Schizosaccharomyces pombe: one gene and its partner. The protein of the gene in region 1 interacts with the protein of each later gene in a pairwise test. Each region holds a gene or a part of one and is shown in the gene's direction. Other genes may lie near its edges.

Evidence for each region.
Region 2: the proteins of sec18 (region 1) and isu1 interact in a two-hybrid assay, tested with the Schizosaccharomyces pombe proteins (2 studies listed by BioGRID).

The regions. Positions count from the first base shown.
Region 1 is NC_003424.3:4,718,005-4,722,721, reverse strand, and holds sec18 (secretory pathway protein Sec18), read left to right. Parts: upstream 1-1,586; 5' UTR 1,587-1,605; coding exon 1,606-3,984; 3' UTR 3,985-4,209; downstream 4,210-4,717. Other genes in the region: SPOM_SPAC1834.13 (uncharacterized protein), read left to right, coding at 138-374; SPOM_SPAC1834.10C (uncharacterized protein), read left to right, coding at 4,411-4,633, 4,695-4,717. UniProt on the Schizosaccharomyces pombe protein: Required for vesicle-mediated transport. Catalyzes the fusion of transport vesicles within the Golgi cisternae. Is also required for transport from the endoplasmic reticulum to the Golgi stack.
Region 2 is NC_003424.3:516,916-520,663, reverse strand, and holds isu1 (Fe-sulfur cluster assembly protein Isu1), read left to right. Parts: upstream 1-1,712; 5' UTR 1,713-2,220; coding exon 2,221-2,799; 3' UTR 2,800-3,248; downstream 3,249-3,748. Other genes in the region: rna4 (Prp4 family U4/U5/U6 small nuclear ribonucleoprotein complex subunit), read right to left, coding at 3,417-3,748. UniProt on the Schizosaccharomyces pombe protein: Scaffold protein for the de novo synthesis of iron-sulfur (Fe-S) clusters within mitochondria, which is required for maturation of both mitochondrial and cytoplasmic [2Fe-2S] and [4Fe-4S] proteins.

The DNA.
Region 1 (4,717 bases):
AATTTAGAAAAATGATAAATCATAAGGCGTGAACCAGGAGAGAAATACAATATAATTGGCTCCTTCACAAGCTAGCTTCGATAAGGGTGGGAAAAGCCGAAAGTTTATGAAATTAAGGTCGATTTTCTATATACCATATGATATTCGCCAGACGATTGGTACTTGAAGTAACTTATGTGTCAAAAAGAGCAAGCGTATTGAATCTGAAATCTGAAAATGACCACTTTCTAAGCAGGCCTAGAATATCCGAGTCACTGCCAACATCAGGGGAGGTGGGGATAGCTAAAGTACCTGCGAAACTTGCAAGTGCGCTGCCGCCTTACTCAGTCTTTGCCCCCGTTTCCCTTAGCTTTGTAAGAATGAATTGCGGATAACGTTAGGACAGTGTAGCTCGGGATAACTAGTTTGCCTGTAAAAGAACAAATAATCATTTGTAAGGGACCTTCCTTCCAAGTCATCAACACTCCATCCCATCTTACCTCACTTTCTCCTCAATCAGATTCAAGAAATGGCTGGCTTCACTTGTGACAATAACAGTGACTCAGGTGAGATATCGAATAAAATTCCATTCCCTAATAATCGCGTTTGAACATTCGCGAATCCTAGATTTTGGTCTATTTACCGTTATCATGCCAATTGAAAAATTTGTGACAGTATGACAGAAATCCGTTTCGTTATGTGAAAAAGGTGACATTAGCAAATCAATGGCCGTTTATACGACAGCAAAAACTCGGTACGCTAATCATTGATGAAATGGAAATCAAAATTCAAGACTTTGCCTCAATAACATTCATTAGAAAGGTGTGTAAATTTTTTAAGGAGACGAGGCGCTGAAAATTTTTTTTTCTACTCCTACTATCAAAACTTGCTAACACTTCCTCCAAACACACTCTTTTTTAAGTAACACTTTTTTTTTATTTCTTATTTATTTAATATTTTGAGTGGATGATCACCCGTATTCGGTTAGTAAAGTGAAGCTCAAAAGAATGATGCGAATCTCGGCAATTAGCGTCAAGCGGCAACGTCTATAGCGGTCGTATAGCTAAGCTAAACAAGAAGCGAGATCTTTCCAATACGGATGTCATTAAGCTACCGATTCTTAAAGCGAAGACATTATCACTCATGACACATAAAATTTTTTGACGTTATTATACGTTTAATAATGAATAAAATAAATTTATAAATAAAATAAAATATATAAATATACAAAAGGGGGAGGGGAAATCCCTTCAATAAACGACAACAACAGTCTGCAAGAAGGTTTGTCTTATTGGAAACAGTTTTCCTATCTTAGAAGGCTGCTAAAAAAATAGTCACTTGCATGCTACAATAATTGCACGCGTAAAGAGGCTTTTGCAAGAAGAGAGAGAAAAAAATTTTTTTGCCAAATGTAAATTGGGAAGTAACATGGCTTCACTACATCTCGTCCTAAAATATAACGACATTGGAAATTTATGGCTTAATTATGATTACGCAATCAAACGGTAAACGTATACTTCACTATTCGCTAATCTGTATTTCGTACTCCGTTATATTATGTTTTAGTAGTAGGTGGAAAGCGTTACGTTTACTGAAAACGATTTTCCATTAACAAAGCACTCAACAATGGACTCAAGATGGAAACTTCCATTCATGTCCAATAAAGGGACACCAGAGCAACCTATGAGGAAACCACTAAGTGGCAGTTATTCCCATAACAGTGCTGGTCCTACACCCAATATGAGCCCCTTTGAGCAAAAACCACCGCTGCCTACACATATGGATGTTAGACGCCCTTCAGGTCCTTTTCGGATCGTCAAGGCGACTTCTACCGAAGATGCTTTAACCAATTGTATCATTGTTTCTCCCATGGACTTTAAGCAGCAGTACATTATTGTAGACAACTCTCGTGTGTTCAGCACTAAACCCGTTCCTGGCTTTCCACAGGGTTGTCTTGGCGCTTCCCAGCCCCATCGCGAATGGGCTTCTTGGTCGCTAAATCAGCAGGTTCATGTTGCCGACTATGATCCATATGGTCCTCATGGAGCTCCTTATCTTCATAGTATGACTTTGGAGGTAGACTTTCAAAATAGAAATCGCACCACTAATGAGCCTTTCGACGGTGAAGAGATGGCCAAGTTATTTTGCTCTAGTTATCAGAGCCAAGTTTTTTCTCCGGGCCAGAAAATTGTTTTCGATTTCCGTTCTTACAATATAAAGGCAACCGTCCGTACTATATCTTGTGTCGATCTTTTAATTGGTGAGAATCAAGATGCCGAAAATACTGCAGATACCAGCAAACGTGGTCTCTTGACTTCCCAGACCGAAATCCAATTTTTTAAAGCCGCTCACTCTGCGTTGCGTTTGAAAGCTAGCATGACAAGACCTGCCTCTAATGCCATTCTTCAGCCAGGCTTTAAATTTGAGGACATGGGCATTGGTGGTCTTGACTCAGAGTTCAGTGCTATTTTCCGTCGAGCATTTGCCTCTCGTCTCTTTCCTCCTGGCATGGTTGAAAAGCTGGGTATTAATCATGTTAAGGGTATTCTCTTATATGGCCCTCCAGGTACTGGTAAGACATTAATTGCTCGACAAATTGGTAAAATGCTAAATGCCCGTGAACCGAAAATCGTTAATGGTCCTGAAATTCTAAACAAATACGTCGGTCAAAGTGAAGAAAACGTTCGTAAATTATTCGCCGATGCTGAACGTGAGTATCGCGATCGCGGAGAGGAATCGGGTCTTCATATTATTATCTTCGATGAATTAGATGCCATATGTAAAAAGAGAGGAAGTTCTGGTGGTGATACAGGTGTTGGCGATCAGGTCGTTAATCAGCTTTTGGCTAAGATGGATGGCGTTGATCAACTGAATAATATCCTTGTTATTGGTATGACTAACAGAAAAGACATGATCGATGAAGCTCTTTTGCGTCCAGGTCGTCTTGAGGTTCATATGGAAATTTCACTTCCAGATGAACACGGCCGTTTGCAGATTCTGAAAATCCATACGTCCCGTATGGCTTCAAATGGTATTTTAGAGAATGATGTTGACATGGAAGAGCTAGCATCTCTTACTAAAAACTTTTCTGGTGCTGAAATTGCTGGATTAATCAAGAGTGCTTCAAGTTTTGCTTTTTATCGCCACATCAAGGTGGGAACCACTGCCGCTGTTTCAGGTAATTTGGAAAATATCAAGGTGAATCGTAACGACTTTTTGAATGCTTTAAGTGAGGTAAGACCAGCTTATGGTGTGAGTGAGGAGGAACTCGAAAGCCGTGTGCAAGGTGGCATTATCAATTTTGGTAAACACATTGAAGAAATAATTACCGAAGGAAAATTATTTGTTCAACAAGTTAAAAACTCCGAACGTACACGTTTGGTCAGTGTATTATTGTCAGGCCCTATAGCGTCAGGGAAAACTGCATTGGCTGCCACGATAGCCCTTGGTTCTGAATTTCCATTTGTTAAGCTCGTTTCCGCTGAGTCCATGGTAGGAATGAATGAAAACGCTCGAGTAGCTCATGTCAATCGTGTGTTCGAAGACAGCTACAAAAGTCCTCTTAGCGTCATTGTAGTAGATGAGATTGAACGTATTATTGATTGGGTACCAATCGGACCTCGATTTTCTAACACCTTACTTCAAACACTTATGGTTCTTTTCAAAAAGCAACCCCCCAAGGGTCATCGATTGCTTATTTTAGCAACTACCTCTGAACGTACTATGCTCTCTCGAATGGATATGACCCAATCGTTTGATGCAGAAATAGCAGTTCCTAATGTCTCCAACGTTACTGAACTGGACCGCATCATACAATCAATAGATTCATTTGCAGACAGCAATGTTCGAGCTGATACATTACAACGTTTGCAGAACTTTACTGGTACTGATGCTGTCAATGTCGGAGTAGCCAAGATTCTTATGATAGCCGAAACGGCTAAACAGGATGTAGACGTTGTTTCCTGTTTTGTTGAAGCCATGGCCCGTGCTATTCCTATGGAATAGCAATGACACCTTTTTAATAACTGAGACGTTTTAGTCATGAATATTTTCTCAAGGTTTTTTATATTTTATACCGTTATAGATTATAGTTAATGAATACACCGCAATACTGTATGAATATTAAGTTAAAAGATGTTCGAACCTATATGTAACGTTAAAAAAATTAAATCATCTTGTTAAATGAATGCTTATCAATATAACTTTATAGCCTTTTATAGTCAATTATCCATAAATAATCATTTGAAGCATTGTAAACAATTTAAGCATACTACATTACTCCCATACTGAGAGGCACAATTTACCAATTCGCTATTTCCACTCCACATTGACCCGGTTCATATTCTAAATCTTTAATTTCATCAGTCATAAATAGTAAAGGACATGGAAATTTAAAAATCGTAACATTCAACTCACATACTTAATTCTAAAATGAATATGCCCTCCGAAATACTACTTGGTGCAAGACGCTGGTTTGCTTCAACATCATTTAGTCTAGCAGCTGTATATGATGCTCCACTTAAAAAAGCTATAGGAAACATTAAAAAGTTTTCGATTGGATCATTAGGTTTAACTTATATGATTTCTCCAGTGATGCTTTTACTTGATGCAGGAGGTTTAAGTTTGGGAACGAGAATGTCGATGGTTTTCTTGGGTATGTTTCATCAAGAAATCGGATTACCAAAATTTCCAAAGCAAATTTATTAACATGTTAGCATGTACTACTACTAGTTTGTCG
Region 2 (3,748 bases), 4.2 Mb from region 1:
CACAATAACTTTTGATGGAGAGAAGACAAGTGTGGGGATCTCATGCTCAAAGCCGAATCCCTTTTAAGTTTCGAAATTCCAAGCATGAGTCCAATTCGCACAATACGCAAAGTTGCGTTTGCTTCGCTTTACAAGCTGGATAGAACGATTTCTAAGCTACTAAATTATAGCGCAGCAAAGGATAAATCCGTAGGAGTCTGTTATTTTTAAAAAATGCAATACAACTTCAGCATCCTCAACATATATTGCAATGTAACGTTAATATGCACAATCAAAAATTTACCAATTTGAATGAATAGCATTGCACTACGTTACATTCAACGTTCTTGAGTTCTGTTGCTATACACTCCAAGACACTTGTGGAGCATGTGAGATATAAAATTAAGAGAAGTCTCAGATACCACTGATTCAATTTCGAAATACCGATATTTACATTAAATAATAAAAACAAAATTTAAAAAATAGTTATAATTTCTCATATTTATCACACTCCTCAATTGCTTGGAGGCCCATTACTTTATTGCAATCTCCAACGGCCTTCCTATCTTAATTAAGGATGACGGGCGCAGTAATGTTATATCGCTAATTTACTGAATGCTGTAAAAAACTAGTCATCCTTTAAAAAAACCGTTAGACCGCTAAACTGTTATTGGTGAAATAGACTGTTTCGAATATTACTTTGTTACACATCAAATGTATAGTGCCTTTTTGCAACCTGTTCCTTTTTTTTTCGCCCAGCTCCGTTATTCCGTGATGCGGAACCCTAGTTCCAGCAACTATGGACTCGCTCTTGCCTATTGGAAAGTATGATCGTAGGTTAGCGGCCTTGGCAATGTTATCGGGATCGATTGTTGCAAAAAAACATACGCAGTGCAAGAGGTGCATTAAAAAAAATAAAAAAAATAAAAACGGCTTAACCATTTCTTATACAAACTTCTCTTTTTGAAAGATTATCCTTACACCTTTTTTATTTACATGTATAATCCAAACCAGCAACTAATTACATATCGAAATAAATGCAAAACAGATAAACAAATGGAAACCAAAAAACCGTTCAAGCATGTATCCCAGCTTCTAGTCGTGCATCCACCAACTTTTCATCATCATTTTTGTTAAACATACAAGCACCCTACCCGTTCTCTGCCGTCTGTCTCATGCCGTCCCTTCCACCTGTACTCCCTAACTGACTACTTTCTTTCTCGCTAACTACTTCTTGCCTGCTATCTGATATTCCTTCCTCAGTTAAAGGGGGACGGCATCTTCTTTCCAATTTCCATATCCCACATCCCACAACCTTGTTTCGAATATACTGTGAACACATATCCTTCACCATCGAACACTGGAATTTCCATATTGTGTATGGAAAACAACTTTATTTGTCTAGCTGTACATCATACTTGCATAAGCTTCAGACTGCTTTGTTGTGGCCTCCCCAAAACTTTTTCTTCGTAAATCTAGTAATACCGGATTACGTTTTAGTCCCTTAATTGGCGTTTACTGCTGAAACCGCATTTCCGATTCGCTTGCCACTATTGCCTTCCCTATTTTATTCGCTACCATCCACCTTAAGCTAGCTTTGTGATTTGTTAGGGAAAAACAGTCACATTTTCGACAAACAGAATTTCTTCTCATATCAGATGAGATAAAGATGGCCGAAAACACTCAAGACTGACTTGCACTATATATAGCAGGCACTGCTCTCAAACACTACTGACTCATACAACTCACCAACATTTAATATTGGACGTTTTGAACATAAATTTAAAGTTGTTTTGAAAAATAATTTCATTGAATAAAGCAATTCGTTTTGTGTGCTATAAGACTACATAACTCTGACACGATTTTTTTCAACCACGTCTTGATTGTTTATTGTCGATACATAGTTGAATCGATTTTTCCTTTCATCGAGTGTACATAGTTATTGTCATCTTATTAACCCGGTTTACAAATTTCCTTGCGTTACCCTTACACACTTTTTAACGTCATTTACGTATAAGGAGATTTAAAGGCAAAGCTGTTATTTTTTTTTATATAGATCAGATAAAATCTGAAACTTTGAAAACTCCCTGCCATCCCCCAAAAACACTGAAAACGTACTCAAGCCTTTTACTTGATACGTTTTGAAAACAAATCTAGTTGGATTTGTGATACAGATATTTTGTTAGATCTTGACGTGATTTGTCATCTGATTTTTTTCTTTTTTCTTTTGTTTTCCCTAAAATGAGTGTCTTCCGTCGCTCCGTTCAATGCGTTGGCGTTTTGCCTTCAATTTTGGCTCAACGCTCTTCTCTTCTTGCCCGTCCAGCGAATTTACAGTTTCTCAAAACGAACTCGTCAAAATTCGTCCCTCAAGTCACCGCAAACGTCTCTCGTCGTATGTACCATAAGAATGTTTTAGACCATTACAACAATCCTCGGAATGTGGGTACTTTGCCCAAAGGTGATCCCGATGTGGGTATCGGCTTGGTAGGTGCTCCCGCCTGTGGCGATGTTATGCGCCTTGCTATTCGTGTCAATAAGGATGGTGTTATTGAGGACGTAAAGTTCAAGACCTTTGGTTGTGGTAGTGCAATTGCCTCGTCATCCTACGTTACCACTATGGTCAAGGGCATGACCCTTGAGGAGGCTTCTAAAATTAAAAACACCCAAATTGCCAAAGAGCTTTGCTTGCCTCCTGTAAAACTTCATTGCTCCATGCTTGCCGAGGATGCCATTAAAAGCGCTGTAAAGCATTATCGCTCTAAACAATTAACGCCTGTTGGTACAACTGCTGGCGCTATTGAGTCTGCTACCGCTTAGAAACTTGATTGTAAAGTCATAGCTTTCATCTGTTTAAAAATCTGCTAATTTCCGCTCCGCTTTTTGACCCCGCCTCCTAATTTTCTACCCGGTCCTTTTAATTCCTAAACTGCGTACATGTAAACAGTGTTTTCCACATAAGATTGCTTGTCGACTTTGGCGTAAACATATGGTCTATGTGTTTGCTTGCATTCTTCCTCCCATTTAGCAATATATATTGATTAATGTTTCTGCACTATATGTATCTGGACTAAATTGATGCAAGTGCTTTCTTTCAAAATGCTGCTGATGCTTATTTGCTTGTTATTGTGGTTATAAAAATCATTACTCTGTACATTTTCCCCTTCCTTTTTTTTTAGTTCCTGCTATAGCATTTTATTCGAATCTTTATACGTCTAATGAAAAATAATTTAGAGTCTTTTATTTCTAAACTATAAGCTGTTTCTGTGTTTGCTTAAACTTTAGTAGTATACATGAATATCATCTTCTAGCTATTAAACCATGTAATATAAATGTTCATATATATTCATTGTTTCGTTGCCCATCACGCAAATAGTCAGAAAGGACTGTCTTGCCTATATTAAACTCATTACCAAAACCGTTTGCCACACCCAAATTTAAGGGTACCATAACTTGATTGTACGATCGTATCCTGATGAGATAAATCTGTCTCCGTAACCGTCAACACTCATAACCTTTTCTTCGTGTCCCACCATACTTTTAATCAATGAGCAGTTCAACGGGTTCCAAAGCTTTACGCAGCCATCATAACCACTCGTAGCGATGAATCTGTTAACACCTGATTCAATATAACGAACGTCTGAAACAAGAGAAGAATGTGCGGGAATAGTATGTGCCAATGACACTTTCCGCAAGTCCCATATTTTCACAGTATCATCGGCTGAAGAAGTTGCAAGTTGGTAGCCGTTTGGACTCCAAGCCATCGCGA